2 linked regions of the Struthio camelus genome follow. The protein of the gene in region 2 purifies or fractionates together with the protein of the main gene of each other region. This does not show direct contact. Links are inferred from orthologs where the notes say so. Each region holds a gene or a part of one and is shown on either strand. Other genes may lie near its edges.

Region 1 (10,401 bases), on a different chromosome or scaffold from region 2:
CTAACTCCCACCAGCTCACAAACGCCTGCGTGCTGCTCAAGTGCCATCCGTGTGCAGCTGCAGCAGCTGCAGCTCCCTGGGGACAGCCACCTCCGGCAAACTCTTCCCCCTCGGAGCAGCGATGCTGAGAGCAGCCGCGTCCCTCACAGTTGGTGCCGCCGGGAAGCACTGAGGAACAAAGTCAGGAGTGATTCCTCGAGGCATGTACTGCAGTCAGAGAAATGCAGTGCGTTTCCTCACCTGTGACTAATGCATGTTATGACTCTCCTGAATCATTACATTTCACACATAAGAAATTATCCTCATCTTCCAGATGGGAAACAGGGCTGGGAGCTAGAAACACCGTAGACCATGAGTCAATGTCAGTTGAAGGTTGGGCTTCAGGACTTCCTGGCTCCGCACAACCCAAGCATTCAGTACTCGAGGCCGCTTTCCCCTTTGCCAGAGCATCCCTAACCAGGTACACACCAGCTCCACAGAGAAAAGGTGGCCCAGCCCACCAACCTTCCCGCGCCGGGTGCTCAGCAGAGGCTAGGTGTATCACCTGCCCACCCGTCCGCTCAAGGACAGTAATCTCAGACTGACTGCCAAACAGAGGAGCGAGCCAAGCTTATTTCATTAGCAGTGTTAGGAAAAGCACCCTCACCTGCAGCAAGCTGAACCTACGTCAGAGAACAGCTATGAAGCTAGGCTGACCTGTAAGGCGCGTTCAGAGCTCACCTGCGCGCTTTCCACAGCGACCCGAAACTGCAGAGCGATGAGAACGACTTCTTTGCAGTCTGCGTCCTCTGTGCTTCGCCACAGGAACATCATGCAAGGGGGATGTCGCTGTTTCTTCAGGTGAATGCATGAAAGAAAATGCCATACATCAAGTCTAAATGCTTCCATTAGCTTAAGGAAAAGGCAGTGAACCTAGACGTGCAACCCCCCGCCTCACCCCACAAATTCCGACCGCTACACGTTTGTCGGAAGGATCTCGTACGGCAAAAGGAACGCGCTTGGTTTCTAGCATAAAATGTAGGACAAGATTTAGTACTACAGAACAAAGGAACCACTCCAGCCTATTGTCACAGATACAGCTTCATCCGAAGAGAAAAGAAGCAATCAGGTAATAAATGCCATATTTAATGCTATTTGTATGAACCAAGTAATTACATGAACTGTATTACTCACTGTAAACGACAGAGGCCTTTCGTGTTTATTCTGGGAAAGGGTGATGGCATCCCTACACGTGGATTATGAATTCACATTGCTATAGCAATTAAGTGCAGATATGGGGACAAATGCAGTCTAGGAGGTTTCATTAGTCATCCTGTGGCCACTCTCGAGTATAATGCCCCAGCATAGGTGAATATTACAAATACTTAATATTAAGTATTATATTAATATTAATATTTGCTACTAAATATTAATATTTGCTACTAAATTTTCCGCTTTCAAATACCGATAATTTATTCAGTTATCAATAGTGGTAGTTTAAAACAGCTGCCTAGCTCAGGGTCATACGGGCAGGGTATGAGCATCCTGGTGGCACGTACAACCGGAGACCTTTGGAGGTAACTTGTCAGCAGCATAAAAGCTGCGTCTAATTCACACGAAGTGACAGAGAGCAGCTGCTTTCAGCCTCAGCGCCAGGGTTCGGCCTGGGGAGCTGGTGGACAATGGTCATTGGTCCCCCTCCGCAGGGGCTACTGAGGTATTAAATAAGACAACAGCTGCAGCTTAGAAATAGATGGGGTTTACTTAATTTCAAAAAGAGGATTTTACACTAAACTCAGCAGCTGCTTTTTTCCAGAGTAAAGGTTTAAGATTTCTTTGACAGTGAGGAGTCTTCTTTTAAAAAAAATAATAAAAAATAAAGAAAAGCATGTGATGCCGATGGATCTATACAGTAATGAGCCGTTGCACAAAACGATGCTGCGCACTGAACGCGGTTCCCCAATGCGTGCCGGAGCGTTTCGGGAGCCAGTCAAGCACGATTTGGACCGGCAGCTCCCCCCAAGAGCGCTCTGCTCAAGGAGCCCGCTCAGCAGGAGCCAGGGCAGAGGCACCCGCCGGCACCCCACTCCCTCCGCTCCCGTTTTCACGGATCAATTCCTCTTTCAGCACCTTTGAAAGGGAAGGCAAGAACTGGGCTTTTTATGCAAACGCGCCCTCGATTTATCATTAAAACATGTTTTTGGCTGGGGCAGACCCCGGCTGCGGCGAGAGGGAACAAAAGCCCTTGTGTCATCGCACACACAGTAAACCTTTGTGGCGCTGATGAGGTCGCAGGGCGCTTTCTCAGGAGCGCTTCCCCCCCAGGCCACGACACGAGGACAACCCCTGTCGTGCATTCCTTTCCTCTGTCTTTCCACACCAAAACTCAGTCTCCGTAGAGACTGTCAAAAATTGCCAATGCCGACTATATTTCAAGTCGTCATGGCGGGGTATTGGGAAAAGTTTTCAATTAGCAATAATCGCGCCTCGGATTAACCTCATTGGCTACGATACTGCCACTGCGCAAAGCTGACTCTCTCCTCCCGCCGCCGCCGCCCCTCGCCCCGCCGCCGCCTCCCAGCTCACGGCGAGCCCCGCCGCCCCCGCGCCCCGCCGCCCCGCGCCGCCCCGCGCCTCGCCGCCGCCCCCCGAGCCCCGCCGCGCCCCCACGCCCCCGCCGCGCGGAGGAGAGCCCCGTTTTCCCCGCAGTGCCGACCGGCGGGGCGGCCGCGGAGGTTGCTGGGAAAGAGTATGCAAAGCAGCGTGACGTCAGGCGGCCGGTGCGTATGGCGCGCGGCGGGACGCCAGGCGGGCGGCAGGGCGCGCCCAGACCGCGCCGTGCCCGGACCGCGCCTCGGAGCCGCAGCCCCGCCCCCCCCCTCCCCCGTATTCCCTCTTCCTCCCCAAACTCCGCTTCCCCTGTTCCAACACTCTGTCATTAAACCACGTGAAACCAGCCTCCGAAGAGGCCCTCAAAAATTGCCGGTGGCAACTATATTGCAAGCCGCCACGGCGGGGTATTGGGAAAAGTTTTCAACTAGCAATAATCGCGCCTCGGATTCACCTCATCGGCTACGATACTGCCACTGCGCAAAGCTGCCCGCCCTCCCCCGCCGCCAGCGGCCGCCCCCGCCGCCCCACCCCGCCGCTCAGAGCGCGCCGCCGCCCCGCCGCCCCGCGCCGCCCGCCGCGCGCCCCCGCGCGCCGCCGCCCCCGCGCGCCCCCCCCGCCGCGCGCCACCGCCCCGGGAGGGGCGCCGGGGGCGGCCCCGCGGCGCGGCGCGGCGGCGGCGGCGCGCAGGGGGTGCCGGGAGGGCGCGAAATGCAAATGACGGAACTATGCAAATGAGAGGGGCGGGGCGAGGGGGCTCCCCCCGGGAGGGGACCGCGGCGGCTCGGCCAGGGCCTGCCGGCAGCCCCCTCCACCCCACAGCGCTCTGAAAACGCATCGAAACTCTTCAAATAAGCACTAACGACCTAAAGTCCATTCAGACTCACGCGGCGGCTGAAAGGCCGTGGTTAAGGGCCCGCGGCGGCCCCGGCCCTCCCCGGGAGCAGGGCGCGTAGCAGCGGGCAAAGCCGGCGCCGCGCAAGCGGGACGCGCTTCTCCTTTGCGATCACAAAATCCCAGGGATGCAGAAAGCCTTGGGCTCCTCCGTGCTTTGAAGTAACTGCAAAGGCAAGAAAAGTGGATTAAAACCTCGCCCCATCTGGAGGATGCTCGTGGAAAGCGCTCCAGGTTATCAGAAAGACCCGCCGGGTGCAACGCGGCGGACTATCCCGTGCTGGGCTGCTGCAGGACAGCCGTCTGCACTTCCCCCTTCTAGCTCATTCTTTAAAAACCTGAAAAAATAACCCCCTGTGCCAGTCGAGTCATGGTTTATCACGTGCATGTCAAGACTGAAAGGTTGTGCCAGTGCCCCGCTGCGAACCCGACCCCAACCACTGGCCACGTGCAGCTGCCCGTGGCCGGGGTAAGCGTCTCACACGGTGTCAGCTCTTGAAGTTCAGATGGGAACCAGCAGCTGAATGGAAGAAAAAATGCCTCCATTTACGCCACGCGGAGGGGAAGCGGACCTTATCTCCAGACCCTCATAACCCCAGCAGGGCGACTTGAAAGGCCTTCCAAAAAAGGAACAAAAACACCCCCAAAAGAAACATCGAAAGAAAACAACAAAAACCCTCTACTGCCGCTGTTTTCAGGGTCTAGGGAACACAGTTTCCTGTGGGAATAGCTCAACAAGCTGGCCAGAAAAAAATGTCACCATCTCAATAACCTGCCGCTTTCCAGCAAGACACCAGCATTCCCGCAAACTGTGGAGAAACAACGGGCAGGGGACATCGCTGCCCAGCAAAAGCCAGCAGTGAAACCCAAGCAGTTTGCTCGCCAGAGAACAAGGAAACAGCTTTTATGGGAACCGCGGCAGCATCCCCAGCAGCACCATCGTCTCCGTATAGGCTGGCTGCAGAAGGTGACAATCAGCAGAGTGACAAGCAGGTCAGGCCAGCAACGGGGCGAGCCCGCGAGGGAGGTAGGGAACCGACAAGCCCTTTGGTGGCAAAGGGTTTCATGTCAAAGCGCTTCAGGGCGTCTAAGGAAGGTGCCCGGGGAGAGGCCCAACGAGATGAAAGACAGACGCCTGCCCCCTTTTTCATCCACGCCTCCTCTGAAAGCAGCGTGGGGATCACCTGTCACACACCGGCCTCTTGGGGGTCGTCTGGCCGCACTGTAACGCATAACCGACCGGATTTTCCTTATTCGTCCATCCTTGCTGCCGGGGGCCCTTCCCCTGGCTTTTCCCCCCAACTTTTTTCCCCATCATTCCCAATGTGCTCAGCAGAAGACCAGTCCACCCTCCCGGTACGCTACGGGCCGGGGCCCGAGTGCAGGCGCCGAAGGGCGAGGGGCAAGCGCGGCCCCAGCAATTCACACCCCCGGGAGTTCTGGAACCGGAAGAGCCATCGTCTTCAACAGCCCACAGCGGACTTTGCTCCTGTTATTTGTTCTGACACTTTCTGAAACCAAAGGCTGGCAGGTTAGCATCAGTGAAGGGAAGCTGCCTGCGTTCGGGTGTCTACAGCGCACTTTATCAAAGCTAGTCCCTACGTAGCAAATACTGCTGTGATTTCCTTCTTGTTTGTTGCTTTGAGGGCAGCTGTGAAGCGTTTAGCTTTTTCACATTTCACTTTCTTATGACATTTCAGGAAGGTTTTTTTTCCCCCCCCTCCTCTTTGAAGCATGGGAACTGTAGTCTTCCTGCTGTAGGCTTTAATTTCTTGCTGAACTACATTTCCCAGAACACTACTCTTCCGGTAGGTCCTCTCTTCTCTTCAGAGGTCCCCCACGGCAGCATTATGAAAGGTAAGTTTTCAGGCCCTGTTCACTATATCTTCTTCCATTAAGCGTGTTCAGTTTGACTGTTGCCCCTTTTCGCCTGCAGTCATTACTGCAGCAAAAGAGATTCGGATGACCTGGGTACACCTCTGATTTTCTGGCCTGAAATCATTTATAGAAACTTGTTTGTTTTCTACCTTAAACTGGACCGATCTCTTTCTGTAAAAGATTTTGGATGTGTGTTAAAAACAAACGCTAGCTTGGATCTTGATAAGTATATTAAAGGTTTTTTTTTTTAATCCGAGCACCTTCATTTTAAAAGAAGCCTCATGTTTTGCATCATGCGTTCTGTCATTTTTAAGTTTTTCTCTTAGTCTGTCCTACTTCCTTGCTTCACAGCACCTTTCAAATGTATCTGGTATTTTTGCTGCTGTGCCTAATACCGCCTTCTCTCTCCTGCCGGCCAATCCAAATTATGTCTGCATTTCAGTCCCCTTCAAAACATTTTCTTCCGAGAGCTCTTTTGATGATAAGTGACAGAAATGGAGAATTTCCATCAGTGCAAGCAATTTAAACACTGTCAAACTGGCTTAACAGCCTTTTGGGAGGATCACAACAGATGTTATTCTCAAAGCACGCTAACGTTTCCCAATAAACTGTGTCCCTTTTAATTAATTCACATGGAAAATTAAACCTCTTCAGAAGAAAGGCCAAACACAACTAATGCTAAACATGAAAACAAAACAAAAATCACTGAGAATAAAATTCACTGATTAGATTACAACAAATGATTCAGAACTGTAGAGGAAGTCCTACCAGACTAAGCCCTCCTGTGGAGCTTAGGTTTCGCGAAGAATCAATCTGTTCTGGAAAATGCTGAGGTGGCTGTGTTGTTGCTTTCCACAGGAGAGGCCGAGGATGGGGTAAACTGAAAAGACTGATTTGGAGCAGGCAATGCGTTAGAGACAGTAGAGCAAGAGTCTCCTCTGTGGAGGAATCGGAGGCACCAGCCGCACAATGCCTGCAGGGGTGAGGTACTTGCCCTCCCTGCTCTGTCCTCTCTGCCTATTGCACGTCCCTGGAAAAGCCCTGCACAGGTCCATCTGTGCTCTTTAGGAGTCCTCTGAGGCCTTCACAGCAGGGATGGAGAGCAGGAACCCTGCGAGTCAGGGGTGCTAGCTCTGTCCTTGCACCATGGGAAGGCCTCGGTGTTACCCCCTGCAACGGGCGCATAGGAACATTGTCCTCCTGCAGTAAGCTTTCAGTAACATTTTCAAAATACTTTGGAATTCTTTACTGAAAGACAAAATAGGACAAAGAACACTTATCAGTATTATTTGCCAGAGTATCCCAAGGAAAGGGAATTAAGGACATGCTCTTTGCTTTCTTTTACCTGTGTTCTGTTCTTTACTTTTAGCAGAAGATGTTCTCTGCCAGGAAGTTGTCAGGAGGTTGCAGAGCCATCAGACTTCATTTCCGATCCCATGTTGTATCCAGAACCTCTCCCAACTTGACTTTCGTGCCAGAGTGTCTCCCCCCGGATCCCGTGGAAGTCGAGGAGCTGCAGCACTTTGTTTCCAAGTCCAAGAGGCTCTTTGTAATGACTGGAGCTGGAGTCTCGACTGAATCAGGGATCCCAGATTACCGCTCTGAAGGCGTCGGGCTCTACGCAAGGACAGACAGGCGGCCCATCCAGCACACCGAGTTTGTCCGCAGTGCCAGTGCCCGGCAGCGGTACTGGGCAAGGAACTTCGTGGGCTGGCCCCAGTTCTCCTCCCACCAGCCGAACGCAGCACACCTGGTGCTAAGAGACTGGGAGAAGCTGGGAAAGCTGCACTGGCTGGTGACCCAGAACGTGGATGCCCTTCACACCAAAGCTGGGAGCCAGCGCATGACAGAACTGCACGGCTGCACGCACAGGTACTCTCCGTGGTAGAGAGGACGGTTAACGCTCTGGTGTCTTGTTGGGGTTAAGAAGCAGCAAGTGCAGCCGTAGCTGCTGAGCCAGGAGGCAAAACGTAGATGTGCAGTGTTACTGGAGGTGACATGCTTGAAGGTGCTGGGCTGGGGGTGCAGAAAAGGGTCACGCATCAGTGCTGCTCACAGCAGAGTATTTAATAAGCATGAACAGCATCCCATTTTTTTGGAGCACTTTTTGGATCATTTCCCTTAGTGGCTGGGTCAGTCAGAATCTCACCTTTCCTTGCTAAAGCAAATATCCTTTGCTCAGGTGAAGAGGAGGATCCTGAGGATGCAAGGAATAATTACCTGGGCTGAGCAGAGCGGGTAGTGCCAGAAAAACAGAGGGTGGGTGTACTGGAGAGGGGCCACCACGGTCTGCTTGTGATTGCCCAAAGTTTCCACATGAAAAGGCACAGAGTGACTGCAAGAGAGGAGGCACAGCAGGCTTCCTCTAGAGCATCCCTGCAAAGCAACAAGTTCTGGAGGTGGGGACCACTGCCTGGCTGGCATGGGTTGGTTTCTTTCTGAGGTGTAATTATATATATATTTTTTCTTCTATAAAGCTCTTCATTTGATTGTCTCAACTAGAGGTAGACAGACAGTCCACTGACCTGTGCCATTTGGTGGATAAGTGCGGACAGTAACAACAGGCCATCCAACCAACAGCTTACTGACTCCAGAGGCTCAGCTGACATGAAGCTCTCGGTTAAGACTTTGTTCTGCACTTTAGGGTTTTCTGCCTGGGCTGTGGAGACCAAACCTTGCGCTCTGAGCTGCAGGTGCACTTTGAAGCTCTGAACCCTACCTGGAAAGCTGAAGCGCTTGGTGTGGCTCCCGATGGAGATGTCTTCCTGACAGACGAGCAGGTGCGTAATTTCCAAGTGCCAGCCTGCAGTAAATGTGGTGGAATCCTGAAGCCTGACGTGACGTTCTTTGGAGACACAGTGAGCCGGGAGAAAGTGAATTTTGTGCACCAACGCCTGGCGGAATCAGACTCCGTGCTGGTGGCAGGATCCTCCATGCAGGTAACCGGACGTTCCTCCCATACTGGATTCTCTTTCTGTGCTACTCTGCCTGCAGCAGTCCTTGGTCCCACAATATGGGACTACTGCTTGCAGACAGGTGGATCTACAGCCTCTCCAGAGCTTCTTGGTATTTTTACTGGCCTTGGAATCTGGCTTCACAGTTGCTCTGTTTGGGCTTCCCTGTCACTCCAGTGCTGATCTCCTTGAAGCTGCTATAAATAACTCCGTTCACACACTCTGACCTCTCCCTGCAGTCCTCTCTATCGCTATATAGGTCCACAGTTGCCTGCAGAGCCAGGATACCTGACACAATCCAGCCCTGTATAGATCACCACCCCACATTTCTTTGCTTGAGCTTTTCGCCTTTGGCAGCTTCTTAGGCCTCGCGGCATGCTGTGTAAAATACCAGATTTTAGGACCTCTAATTCCTAACTAAACTGCTGAAGCAGAAGACAACAGGAAATCTCTGCTTGTCACTTAGGACTGTCCTTTCTTTCACAGTCTTTCTCCATTAGCCACGTCTTATCTATAAGATAAGGTGGTCTAAAAACCTCTGTTGTTTAACCTGGGGAAGTTTCTGGAACACAGTTTGTGTAATTGATATTTTCTGGAAGCAAGGTTCTATTACAAAATGCTAATGTACATTAAGAAAAACTACTCTAATGCCTCCCAGAACAAGATAAAAACCAAGTCCTGTTGTGATTCTCTTGGCTTCAGGATACTAGGGGACAAATTCCTTGAGCCTGCTCTCCTTGAGCTCATAATCCTTTGTACAGGAATGACTGAAATGCCTCAGGTTCGTTCTTGTACTTCCTAAGCTGGACCACGTGAGACCCATCAAAGTAGAAGCATTTAAGTACCTATGGTAACTAATAAAAGCCGGTGCGGAGATTTACTGAAAGACAAGGACATTTTCCTTCAATGTACGTATTTGCTGTGGTAAAACCCTTCACTGACATAGGTTAAAAGCTGCTGTTCTTTTCTGTGCACGCCTGAATAAAGACATTTCCTGCTGGAATTAAGTGCAGTCACATAACACAGCATGTATATACTGCCCTTTTCCCCAATACCAACAACAAATTTGCTTTCATTATTCCTTTCTGTAGCTTTTCTTTTTCTATTCTGCTGATCATTTTGTCTCTGTGTCTTCATGCAGGTATACTCTGGTTACAGGTTTGCTCTTGCTGCCCGGGAGAAGAAGCTGCCAATTGTGATACTTAACATTGGGCCCACCAGGTTAGATCACTTTGCATCCCTGAAACTGAATTCCCGCTGTGGGGAGCTGCTGCCTTTGATTGACATACACTGACCCAAGAAGCTGAGGATCAGTGGCTTTCAGGAGTAAAATTTTTACAAGGTGAGTACCTGCCCTGCTTAGTCACCTTGCAGGGTAAGGAGATCAGCCCTGTTCAAATACCCATCAAATGCCGAGCCATCTTGCCAGGAAAGAGACTGAGATGTGCCGACGAAAAATATGTTCCGATAACGGGCATCAAAACTTGCCTGTAAGTTTTCATCTGTAACTGGTACGCTCTGCTGGGCGATGATGCTGCTTCCTGTGATCATAAACAAAAAGCATATGCATTTGCTTGGGTACAAACGCCCACAAAAAATTGGGCAAGGGAAGCCAGAAAACTCAGCAGTGTCGCAATCGCATCCATTTCTCACAATCAGAAAACTACATGGGATAAGCTGCAGACTCAGAGTGCCAGATTAGCACTGTTGCCATTACATGCTACAGTCTGTCTTTGTAATACACAGATTCATTAAGGTCTGTTAAGTTGCTGTGACTCTTATTGATGATTTGAAAGCTGTGCCTGGTTGAACTAATCCAGCTAATCAGAACACTGCTGTTTAAAATATCCAGTTCCATCTATAAAGCAGCTTCTTCCCTCCACTCCTGCAGGACCCATCATCTCAAAAGCGGAAATACTTCAACCTAAGAGGCAGCTGTGAAATCCAATGCATAGCCCCTGAGGAGACCAGGAGAGGGCAGCAAGCCTCGCGCATGCCAACCTGACCGGTTTTCTGCATTGAAATCATCCCCGCTTAGGCTTACCAGGGAACCGAGGGATGGTGAAAAAGCTTCTCTCTCTCTCTC
Region 2 (10,031 bases):
CCGGTTCTCACGTGCTTTCCCGCGGCAGCGGGGCCAGCCAGGCCTCGGGGTGACCCGGCACCTCCGCACGCGGCCCGCGAGGTCCGGGCACGGCAGGCAGCTGGTGCCCACGCAGGGCTTAGCCCTAAGCGGGCTGTGAGAGACCCAGCCGCCGGGACGCAGGGTGGTGAGCGGCCGTGGGCACGGGTCCAGAGGGACTGTACACGCGGGACAGCATCACCGCCGGCTGTGGTCCGCAGCGTTGTGGTTCCTCATCTTCCTCCCCTAGATCCAAACCTTTTCACCCGGGAACAGCCCCGAGATAAGCTCTCGGACCGCTCACGCAAGGCTGTGGGTCCTTCGGCCGCTTATCGCATCTCCCCATGAAAGCACGGCAGCCTGCAGCTGCGGCGTTCAGGCCCGCAGCCCCATTTCCTGAAGGTCTGAAGAAGAAGGGGGGGGGAAAAAAAATCGCAGATGTGCCCCTTTCCCGGGGCTTCTCCTCCCCGGGCCCCCTGCCAGCGCTGCATCGCCCCTGACCGCAGCGCTGCTTCGTCGGGAGCCCTCACCGATGCCCCAGCACCCCGGAGCACAGACGCACCCCGGGGCGACGCTGCCCAGCCCGAGCCGCCGGCGCTGCACCCCGGACGGGCCGCTCGCAGCCCGGCCCCCGAGCTGCCCCTTCCCCTGGGCCGCGGCTCCGCGCTGCGAGGTGCAACGCCCCGAATCGCGCCCAGGACGCCAGGCACGCTCCAGGAACCCGCAGCGGGCAGGCACAGCCGCCTCGCCGACCCCCGGCACGTCCCGGACTCGCTTCCCGACCCCGCGTCGCCCTCCCTTCCTGGTGGGAAGTAGGGGACAGTGAGGACATACCTAGACCCAAGAGGAATCAGTGCAAGGTGCAGATTTGCAGGTGCTGGGTCCTGGCCTATGTTCAAATCACATTTGTGCCTGTTTCAGGGCTTTATCTTCAAATCGTGCTTTGAACAGAGGCAGGCGCAGAGCATCGCTGGTTCCCTTTGCACCCAGTCCTGCTCGGGGCCTTGCACCGACGGGCAGTCGGGCCAGCACGGAGCAAAAGCAAGGATTAGGGCCTGGGTACGCTCGAACGTCGGCTCAAGCCAGCTCTGATTTAGCCACGCTCAGTCAATTACTTGCTCCTTTCTCCTAAAGCGGACTATCTCGTGGCTCACCGCCAACTTAAAACATCCAGGACCAAAGTCATTACTTTCTTTCCGAAGCTTGCTTTAAAATAGCACTACAACACATTCCACGTTTTTGCTCATAGTCGGAGACTTCGGCAAAACGCGAGCCCAGAGGGAATTATTCTCAACGACCCGGAGTTACAAGCCTTAGAAAACAGGACTACGCTGGAATGGAAACAGTGACAGTCTGAGCCCGAGTCACATGAAGAGCATTACAAGGATGGTTATTTCCACGCAAAGAGATTTAAGCTGGTTTTAGGGCATCGAATTAAAGGAACGGCTCCTGGGCAGAGCATCGCGGCCCACGGTCCGGGCACGCGCGCTCTGCGCCGGCCGTTTCGCACCAGCCGAAGCCTTTTCCAGCCCTTTGCACTGGACGAATTTCCAGTCGGGCTCCAAGATGAGACGCAAAGTGCTGAGGAAGTGAGGTCATATGGGAAATTGTTCTGAGAGATAAAGGAACAAGTTAGAAACCAAGCTGCAAAATAGACAGTACAGGAAACAATAGAGCTTTAGATAGTCTTTCAAATTTCCCCTAGTGATGCCAAGAACACAGCACTTCATAGGAGCAATGCTCTTTTTTTTTTTCCTTTTTTTCTTTTGCCTTACACATGCTGCAAGGAAACACAGACTAAAAGATTATGGAGCCGAAGTTGTTTGCTTCAGCCCAGGGCTTGCTCAACCTTTTATCTCGCTCCACGTATTTGTCGGTGGTTAAAATAAGACATTATGGGCCAAGTCTTTCAAGTCTCATTAGAAAAGAGTTGAGTGACTCAAAGGCCAGACTTAATCCCGTTATCGGCGGTAGCCCCAGCAGGGCCTGGGGATGGGGCTGTCTCCCCAGCCCATGCCACCACCCGCCTCGGGGAGCAGAAGTGGCTCCTGCCACCTCGGTGCCACACGGCAGCTTTCCTTCCTGGCGCTTCTGCGCTGCCAAACCTGCAAAGCGACGCTCGGACGGATCAGAGGGCTCCAGCGAGCCAGGCTGAGCAAACCCCTCGTGAAAGAGCCGAAAGCCCTCACGCCACCCACGAACGCGACTGCCACAGGGAGCCAGGGACCCCGAGGGGAGATTGGCAGGCAAGGACAACATCTCAGCAGAGCAGCTAGCGCAGCAGGAAGGACCGACGCGGTTTCAGACGCGCAGGAGCCCCACGGTCCCGTCCAGCCTTCCTGGCCCAGGGCGAACCCACTGAACAGACGCCACTTCCCCCAAAATGCACACAGGGACGCACAGAGAGCCGACTCTGCAAAAAAACCCAAAACAAACCAAAACCCTTGGGGGGTCCAGAGTGCATACATACCCGCCAGCCCCCGCCTCGGGGAGGCTGCGTGACTGCTGACGTCCCCTCCATGGGGCAACAGAGCTTCTTGTCCCCCCAGCAGAGCCTCCACGTACTTTGGTCGCTGCAAACTGCAGCTCTTCCCTTTCATCTTCCACCTCCCAGCTCTCTAGCTCGGTACTTGGACGCTCCTTTCTCTCTCCCCACGGTACCTAGATGATTTTCCATCACTCTGGGACAAAATCGTTACAGGGCAGAGATATCATTAGAGCATCTCCATCACACAGGGAGCACTGCAAGGCCACTAACGATCTAGACAGGGAACATTGGACTTCCCTGAGCGACTGTGTCAGCCCATAAATAACCCAGGCTCCCAAATCACCAGGCTGCGTTTCAGTGGAGCTACTGACTGTAAGGTGAAAGGGTGAGTCTCTGCTCTCGGACTCCCGGGTCAAAACCTGGAGGTGGACACTGACCCCTGTATTGTAAGCAAAGGTGCCCTCCTCTGAAAAACGAGCTCAGGACTGCAGAGACAATTCCCTCGGGAGGGAGCACACACGCCTGATCCCGGAGATCCCAAACAGTCACATCTCTGGTGGGGGGCACGCGCCGGCAAAGCCGTCTGCGGCCCTCACGCCTCCCCAGGAGAGCGCGGCCAGCCCAGGTCCGAGCCCGCCCCGTGCCCTACGCGGGGGCTTCGGCACTCGTAGAGTCACCGCGGGCCGGCGGGGAACTCGGAGCTTGGCAGAGACGAGCGGCTTTCCCAGCATCGAGCGCTGGTCTCTGGGAGTTTGTCATGACCTAGTACTCACGCCTGGGCGCTAGTCACTGCTGCCTGCGGGCACCTCAGCAGGTTAGAGAAAAGCTGCACACACGCTTCAGCTTCCTGCCTGTTCTACACCTTCTCCTCTGGGGAGCACCAGGCTGGGAGGAGGGAGAAAACCCCCACCAACCCTTTCCCTGCCAGGCTCGCGCGGCTGGGTTTGCACGCAGCGCTGCTGAACGTGTGCTTTCCTGTCCCTTTCCCGCTGCGCAGGTAGCGCCGTCCCCAGGCACAAGCCAGAGCTCGCGCGGCGCATGGGGACAGGACCTCAAGGATGACCGCAATAACGGGTCACAACACCCCAGCAGGAGCGGCTTCAGAAGCCCTAAGACTTCTCACAGCAACGGAGGGAGGGGGCCAGCACGGGGACCGACGGTCACATCCGCTCCAACAGCAGCAGGGCTGAGCCCTGGTGCAGCAGGGCCGAGGGGACAAGGCAGGAGAAGGGCAGGGTGACGGGGGAAGAGCGCAAGGCACGCGGCCGGCGAAGCGCACGCAGAAACGCAGCAGAAACGCAGCGGAAATGATTTTGCAGGAGGCTGCACAAAAGTTCTCCGAGAGACCGTTCGGTACCAGACACGAGCACGCCACAGTCAGCGCCCAGACACGCCGCGTCCTCCTTCGCCCCACGCGCGCCTCGCTTCCCGCGGGCCCCAGCCCCGCAGCTCGCCCTGCGGCCGGCACGCGCGGGAGCCCCGCATCCCACCGCGACCCGGCAGCGCGGCCGGTGGGCACCTCCCCGGCATGGCAGGCAGCGAGGCAAGGAGGAAAGCCCACCCCGGCTCCAGCTTGGCTCGGGCACCCGGGGCTACGGCGCTTTCCCGTGGCGCCAGGGGCTGTCATAGAGACGGTGGGGACGCAGCAGCGTAGCTGCTCGCAGACGCCCATCGGGGTGCATCACCCCGGCTGCAACAGGGGAACTTCCAGGCTGGATAAAGCCTTTAATCAGGCAATCCAGGGCCCTGCAGCTTCCTACCAGGCTGATCCCAGGCAGCCCAGGAGAAAGGGCACAGAAAACAGCCTTGGCCTAACAGGGTCCTCCGGGTCCGTCAGAGCTGGACATGACCCCCAGAATTACCGGTGAACAAACGCTACGAGGGAAGTGGATCAAGAGACATCAAAGCAGGGGGGGTGATGAATATTTCATGTCCTGGCCTACATACAGCCCGCTCTCCCCGCCCTGCGCTCCCGGGGGTCCCCCGCAGCCCCCAAACACAACAAAGGGGATCGCGGGCAGGCGGTGCAGCTTGCCTGGACCCCACAGCCGTCCTCTCGGACCTGGCCAGACCCACAGCCGCCCAGCCAGATGTGGCCCGACCCATAGCTGCCCAGATGGACCTGGACATGCCCAGCTGCACCCACAGCCGCCCCATCGGACCTGCCCAGACCCCGAGGCGCCCAGACGGAGCCGCCCAGATCCAGCTGGACCTACAAGCACCCCGCCGGACCTGACCAGACCTAGCTAGACCCATAGCCAGCCGCCCGACCTGGCCGGACCCAGAGCCGCCCGGAGGGACCTGGCCATCCGCAGCCGGACACAGAGCCACCGGCCGCAGCGGCAGCATCCCGGCCGGACCCCGCCGCCGCCCCGGCGTCTCCAGCCGGACCCCCGAGCCGGACTGCGGACATCCCCCCGCCGCCGCCGCCGCCGCCGGAGCCCGCTCACCTCGGCGCGTGCTCGGCCCCGCTTTGTCTCCGCGCCGGGGGCGCGGCCGCCGCCGCCACCCGCCGCCGCCGCTCTGGTGCCCGGGCCGCCGCCGCCGCCGCCGCAGCCCCGCGCCGCTCTGCTCCGCTGCGCTCCGCGCCGAGCCGGGCCGGGCCGGGCCGGCTGCTCAGGGCTGCGCCGCCGGCAGCACCGCGGAGCGCCGCGGATCCGGCGCGCTGCTCCCTCGCCCGCCCCCGCTCACCCCTTCTCTGGTTGGGGGGGGGGGGGGACGACCCACGGGGGGGGGGGGGGGGGAAGAGGAATATGGCAGCAAACCGGAAACGGCTTTATAGGAGGGGAAAAAAAAAGCAGCAGCCCCTCCCCTCGGGTGGTGGTTTTTTTTTTTTTTTTTTTTTTTTTTAAAGGGAGAAGGCTGCGGGCAGCCGGGCTGCGCGGGCGCGGAGCGGGCGCGGCGCCGCCGGTCACGCCAGGGGCAGCGCCCCCGGCCCCCCGGGGGGGCGGCGGCGGCGGCCCGGGCCGCGGGGCCCCAGAGGCGGCGCGGCGCGGCGAGGGGCTTCGCCCGGGCCTTTCGCCTCGCCCTCCGGGCTGCCCCTCCGCGGCGGGGCTGCCAGCGCTAGCGTATTACCGGGAACCAGAGCTGGTGACGGAGAGACAAGGGGTTTTCAGAGTGGTCAAAATCTGGCTATTTTCCCTTCGCTTTATTAGGCAATTCTAACAAACAGCACATAGCGGGGAGCGAAGCTGTTTTGTCACAGCTCCGCGCTCGCGCCTAAGCCCTTCATCCTCGGCAGAGACGCCTGGCGATAGCAGGACGGCTTAAAATCCGTCCTCCTGATATTTTAAAAGGTGGCAAAACTTTAGCGTAGAAAAAAAGGCAGAGAGAAAGCCAGTCCACGTGTGGCCGTAAGGCCCTGGGGGAGCGGCGAGGGCGGCCGGAGCGGCGGGTGGGCGGGCGGGCGCGCGCGAGCGGGGCGCCGCTCTGCCTCGTCCGTCCTCGCCGGCTCCGGGACGGGCCGACAGGGAGGGTGGCAGCGCCTGGGCCGCCGCAGGTTACGCCCTCGGCGGTGGTGGCAGCGCGGCTGTCCTCGTCTCCGTCGCGCGATCCGCCACCCCAATTCGCAGGCTGGAGCAACGCGGCCGGGCTCAGCCGCGGCGGGGACGGTGGCGACGGGTGGTGGGGAAGGCCCCCGCTCTCAGTCGGCGCCGGTTCCTCCTGCCCTGGAGAAGTGGCCCGCCTGGAGCAGAAGTGCTGCCGAGCGGCTAAGGGGAAGCGGAGGGCCGAACGCGCAGCACGAAGGCGACCGTTGCCCCGCCGCTCCCTCCGTTCGCTTGCCCGAAACACGTTCATCAGTACCTTCCTCCCGGCGAGGGTTTTGAGGAGTCTCCCGGCGCTTCCCCCGGCCCCGAGCAGCGCCCCTTCCGCGAGGCGGCCGCGGGGCCGGGCCGGGCCGGGCCGGGGGGAGCGCCGCGGAGCCCGCGCCCCGCCGCGCTCTGGGCCCCTGCCCAGGGGCCTGCTGGCGCCGCGGCGGGCGTCGAGGCTGCCGGGCAGCGCTGCCTCAGCCCTCCCCCAGCTCCCGTTAGCAGCCCGCTGAATCGTTCCCTGTCACTTTATCCTGCGGGAAGAAATTGGGTGAAGCAGTCGGTTGCCACCCGTGTCGCTGTTTTATGAGGCGCGCTCGGTCGGCGGCGGACTACAGTAATCCGCTGGCTGGGTCGCTGCAGCCAACCGCCCGCCTGTGGCCCCGCCGGCCAGCCCTCCCCGCCAGCCCTTGCAGCCACCGAGGAGGGGCTTTTCGAAAACGCCGCAAGTCCCAGCGAGATCTGACCCTGTAGAAACGATCTGAAAAGCTAACGAGTTTCAGAAAACAATGTGGCTGCCCCCCCCCCCGCCTTGTTCTTGTTAAGTTATTAAACAAATATTTCCCATGACACGGCTGAAGGCCAGCGAATCCATGAGTCACCAGGAACGAGGAGTCACGCACCCCGCGGCTCCATCACCCCGGCCCGCGCCGCGCGGGGCCCTGCCCTGGCAGGAGCGCCTCGGCTGATAAGGCCCCGTAGGAGCTGCGCTTGGCCGGAAAAGCCCAGCCCTTTCCCTCCCAGCGCCTCGGAGGGCCGGGCACCGGCAGGCGCTCGGCAGCGGCGGGCGGTTGCTGGAGAGCGAGGGGCTGCGGTTCAGCGCGCCTGCTCGCTCCTTGCCTGGCGGTACGGCGGGCTGCGCGAAGGCCCGGGGACGCGCTCCTCTCCCGCCCGCTCCGGCGGCCGCCGGCAAGTCCCGGGGAGCTGCTCCGGCAGGTAACAGCGCCCCGGGGAGAGCGACGGGCTCGGCCCCAGGCCCTGGGGGAACCGGTTGAACTCAGCCTCTGCCGGATCCAGACCCAAAGCTGAGATGCAATGATGACTTATACATATTTGGATTTTGTTTTCCTCTTTTGCAATCAACTCCTTTCCTGCGGGCTGTCCCACAATCGCGTTTTGCATCTCTGGCGGGGCCGGCCAGTCGCTCAAAGGCGAACAGCAGAAAGCCCTGTGCCTTCGAACACGCTGTACCAAAGCCGCGGCACAGTCGCTCCTTCGATGAAGACACCAACGGGCAAATCTAGAATGGCAAAGAGATACCCTCAAAAACCAGCCCCTTATCTTCTGGGCTCTGATTCAGGAATGTGCCCTCGCAACACTGACATTAAACACCCGGTATTGGCGATAATGCAATTTAAACTCATTCGAGTTTAAGCAACTCAACACACTTGAGTGCTTTCTTGAATCAGACTCAAACTCCTGAGACTGAAGGACAACTGCCGTCAAAATATTTTTCATTAAACAGTCTAAAACAAGATCCTTCTTACCCAACCCAGGGTTTTAATGTCTTACCTGAAACTTTTTTTCTTGAGATGTTTTATTTCCGTTCGCTTTTAAACAGCACCAATCAAACCCGTACTGGAGAGGGGAGAAGGGTTATAGAGCGAGGCTGAAACAGAGATAAAAAGTCACCGGCAAATTTAAAAAGCATCACTGGATATTTCTGCTGTCTCGCTTATTACAGCACATCTTGATCGCTTGTTAGAATATCATTTTAAGATGTGCATAGGCATTTTCCTGCTTTCCTGCTGATCTTTAGCAGGAAAAAAAAAAAAAAAGAATGACAATCACTATACCCAGAGCGCTGTCAGGTTAATGGAGTAAATAAGTATATGGTTTCTTTGTTACTGCCGTCAGGTGTACACATCACCGGTAGCCGTTGATGTACGTCAACATCGGCGGAGAGAGCTCCCCGGCTGATGTCTAAGGCCCTACGTGCGCCGTGCTGCAGCGCGCCGCAGCGGGGCCGGAGGCTCCCCGCTTCTCCCAGCCGGCCGGGGCTGCGCGGCGGCACCCTGCCCCTCAGCGGGGAGGTCCTCAAAACGCGGCATGAGCCACATCGAATTGCTCCGCGAGACTCGGAAAATCTTCTTGTAAAGCAAGAGGATGCTTTTGGGGCCCAATAATCGATCTGTGTCCTGACCTCAAACTGTAGCTGTGGCTTTGCGACAAAACATCTATTCATCTCCAAACAGATTTATTTTTAAGCATCTCCTTGGCAAGCGTGAATGAGTTTTGTTTAATGGATCCTGTTCCTGAGGCCACTTGCATTTTATTCACTGCAAAATCCAAACACATTTGCCCGAATTATTACTCTTAATAATAGAACAGTTGTGTTCAAGCTGCTGGGCAGAGGCAGAAGCGGGAACGGCTCTTTCCCTAAGAATTTACGATCATTGAACTTTACAGTCTTGCAAATAGTGAGCGTGTGCGACAGCAAACGATGAGAACGACCAGATCCATTAGGAAAGCCGCAGTTATGAGCTATGGGGCTGATTTACTAGGGGGAATTGAGGAGAATAGCTCTTGCAGTACAAGCCATTTGGCAATATTTCGTCGCAGAATCTGATTCTGGCCATTCTCTCCTGCACTGAGCATCAGGTCCGCAAGAGCAGAGCGACAAGAACTGCTTGCCAACGTCTGGTGGGCTGTATGATAAAAAAGGGCAGTTGAAAGGAAGTCACCAAGTGGACTCAGGACATCGCTCAGGAAAGGGGTCAGTGGGCGGGTGGAGGAAAGGGGTCGGTGGGCGGGTGGCAGCTCAAGACCTGCCGTGCCCTTCGGTGTGGCGACAGTCTGCCACGTCCGTCGGCTGGGGGAAGGCGAAACAGGCTCTTACCCCAGCTCTGAAGCTGCACAAGTCCGGTAGTGTCAGTGCAAAATTCCCTCGGGGAATGGGTGGCTGGAAAACACTCACTTAGTGGAATGTAAATGTTTGGGGAGAAGCCCCAGAGTTCTTCAACAGCTTTGGAAGGCAATTACCTATACGTTCAATACAGTCACAGCATTTCATGTCCGCTTTATATCTGATAAAATATAACATTTTGATCAGAATAGAATTAGGTATTTCGGAATAGCTCATTCAGACAAAAATTCTACACTTTTCACTTTTTGCCTCAGTTTAGAAGAAAAGCCACAAACAAAACATCGGCATTTCCTAGTGGTAGAAATTCTGCTTTTTGGCCAGTCTTAGTGTCAACAGAAACGAGCAGTTCAGAAAAGCCCATGGAAAACTGTACAGACGAGATTTATAGCCTTTCTTTCCAGCTGCTTTGCTAACAGAGCAGCTGGGGATTCCTCCCGAGTGCAGGAATCACTGGGTAGTTCAAAGCTCTTGTAGCCGCATCAACTTGACCTTCCCCTGGAGCACAAGGGGGTGTGTGTGCAGAGCAGATTGGGCTGTAGCATTCCTCAGACAGCAGAGAAGTCCCCGGGGCGCTGTTCCTGCGAGGGCAGGGCTGCTCGCAGTCACATTAGTGACTGCAGCCTGTGCCAAATGGAGCTCCAACAGACACAAGGGTGGTTCCCACTCATCATTCAGTGTTGGTCCTTTGAGCGAGGGATGGGCTAAGGAAGCCAAAGTCTGAGTCTGTAAAATTTAAACCATATGATGTTTGGATCTACGTTCAATTTAAACTGAACTAAGTAAGTGGGGGGAAGGTAGGGAACAGAAATGTTTGCCGCTTCGCCCCTCCTCTCCAAAAAAGCCTCCCCCA

The links. The genes of interacting proteins can lie anywhere in the genome.
Region 1: the proteins of SRC (region 2) and PXN purify together in Homo sapiens (co-immunoprecipitation; 4 studies listed by BioGRID and IntAct, with this or other methods). This does not show direct contact. The link is inferred for Struthio camelus from reciprocal best matches to the Homo sapiens genes SRC and PXN.

Annotation. Positions count from the first base shown.
Region 1 is NC_090958.1:7,822,168-7,832,568, forward strand, and holds the start of PXN (paxillin), read right to left. Parts: upstream 4,732-10,401; 5' UTR 4,717-4,731; coding exon 4,679-4,716; exon of another isoform or gene 3,650-4,678; coding exon 3,477-3,649; exon of another isoform or gene 3,355-3,476; intron 3,078-3,354; exon of another isoform or gene 2,937-3,077; intron 2,511-2,936; exon of another isoform or gene 2,370-2,510; intron 835-2,369; coding exon 721-834; intron 1-720. Other genes in the region: SIRT4 (NAD-dependent protein lipoamidase sirtuin-4, mitochondrial), read left to right, coding at 6,331-6,342, 6,734-7,233, 8,006-8,300, 9,457-9,609. UniProt on the Homo sapiens protein: Cytoskeletal protein involved in actin-membrane attachment at sites of cell adhesion to the extracellular matrix (focal adhesion). Recruits other proteins such as TRIM15 to focal adhesion.
Region 2 is NC_090959.1:7,546,661-7,556,691, reverse strand, and holds the start of SRC (proto-oncogene tyrosine-protein kinase Src), read right to left. Parts: upstream 4,883-10,031; 5' UTR 4,856-4,882; coding exon 4,778-4,855; intron 3,360-4,777; exon of another isoform or gene 3,280-3,359; intron 2,700-3,279; exon of another isoform or gene 2,540-2,699; coding exon of another isoform or gene 2,489-2,539; intron 1-2,488. UniProt on the Homo sapiens protein: Non-receptor protein tyrosine kinase which is activated following engagement of many different classes of cellular receptors including immune response receptors, integrins and other adhesion receptors, receptor protein tyrosine kinases, G protein-coupled receptors as well as cytokine receptors.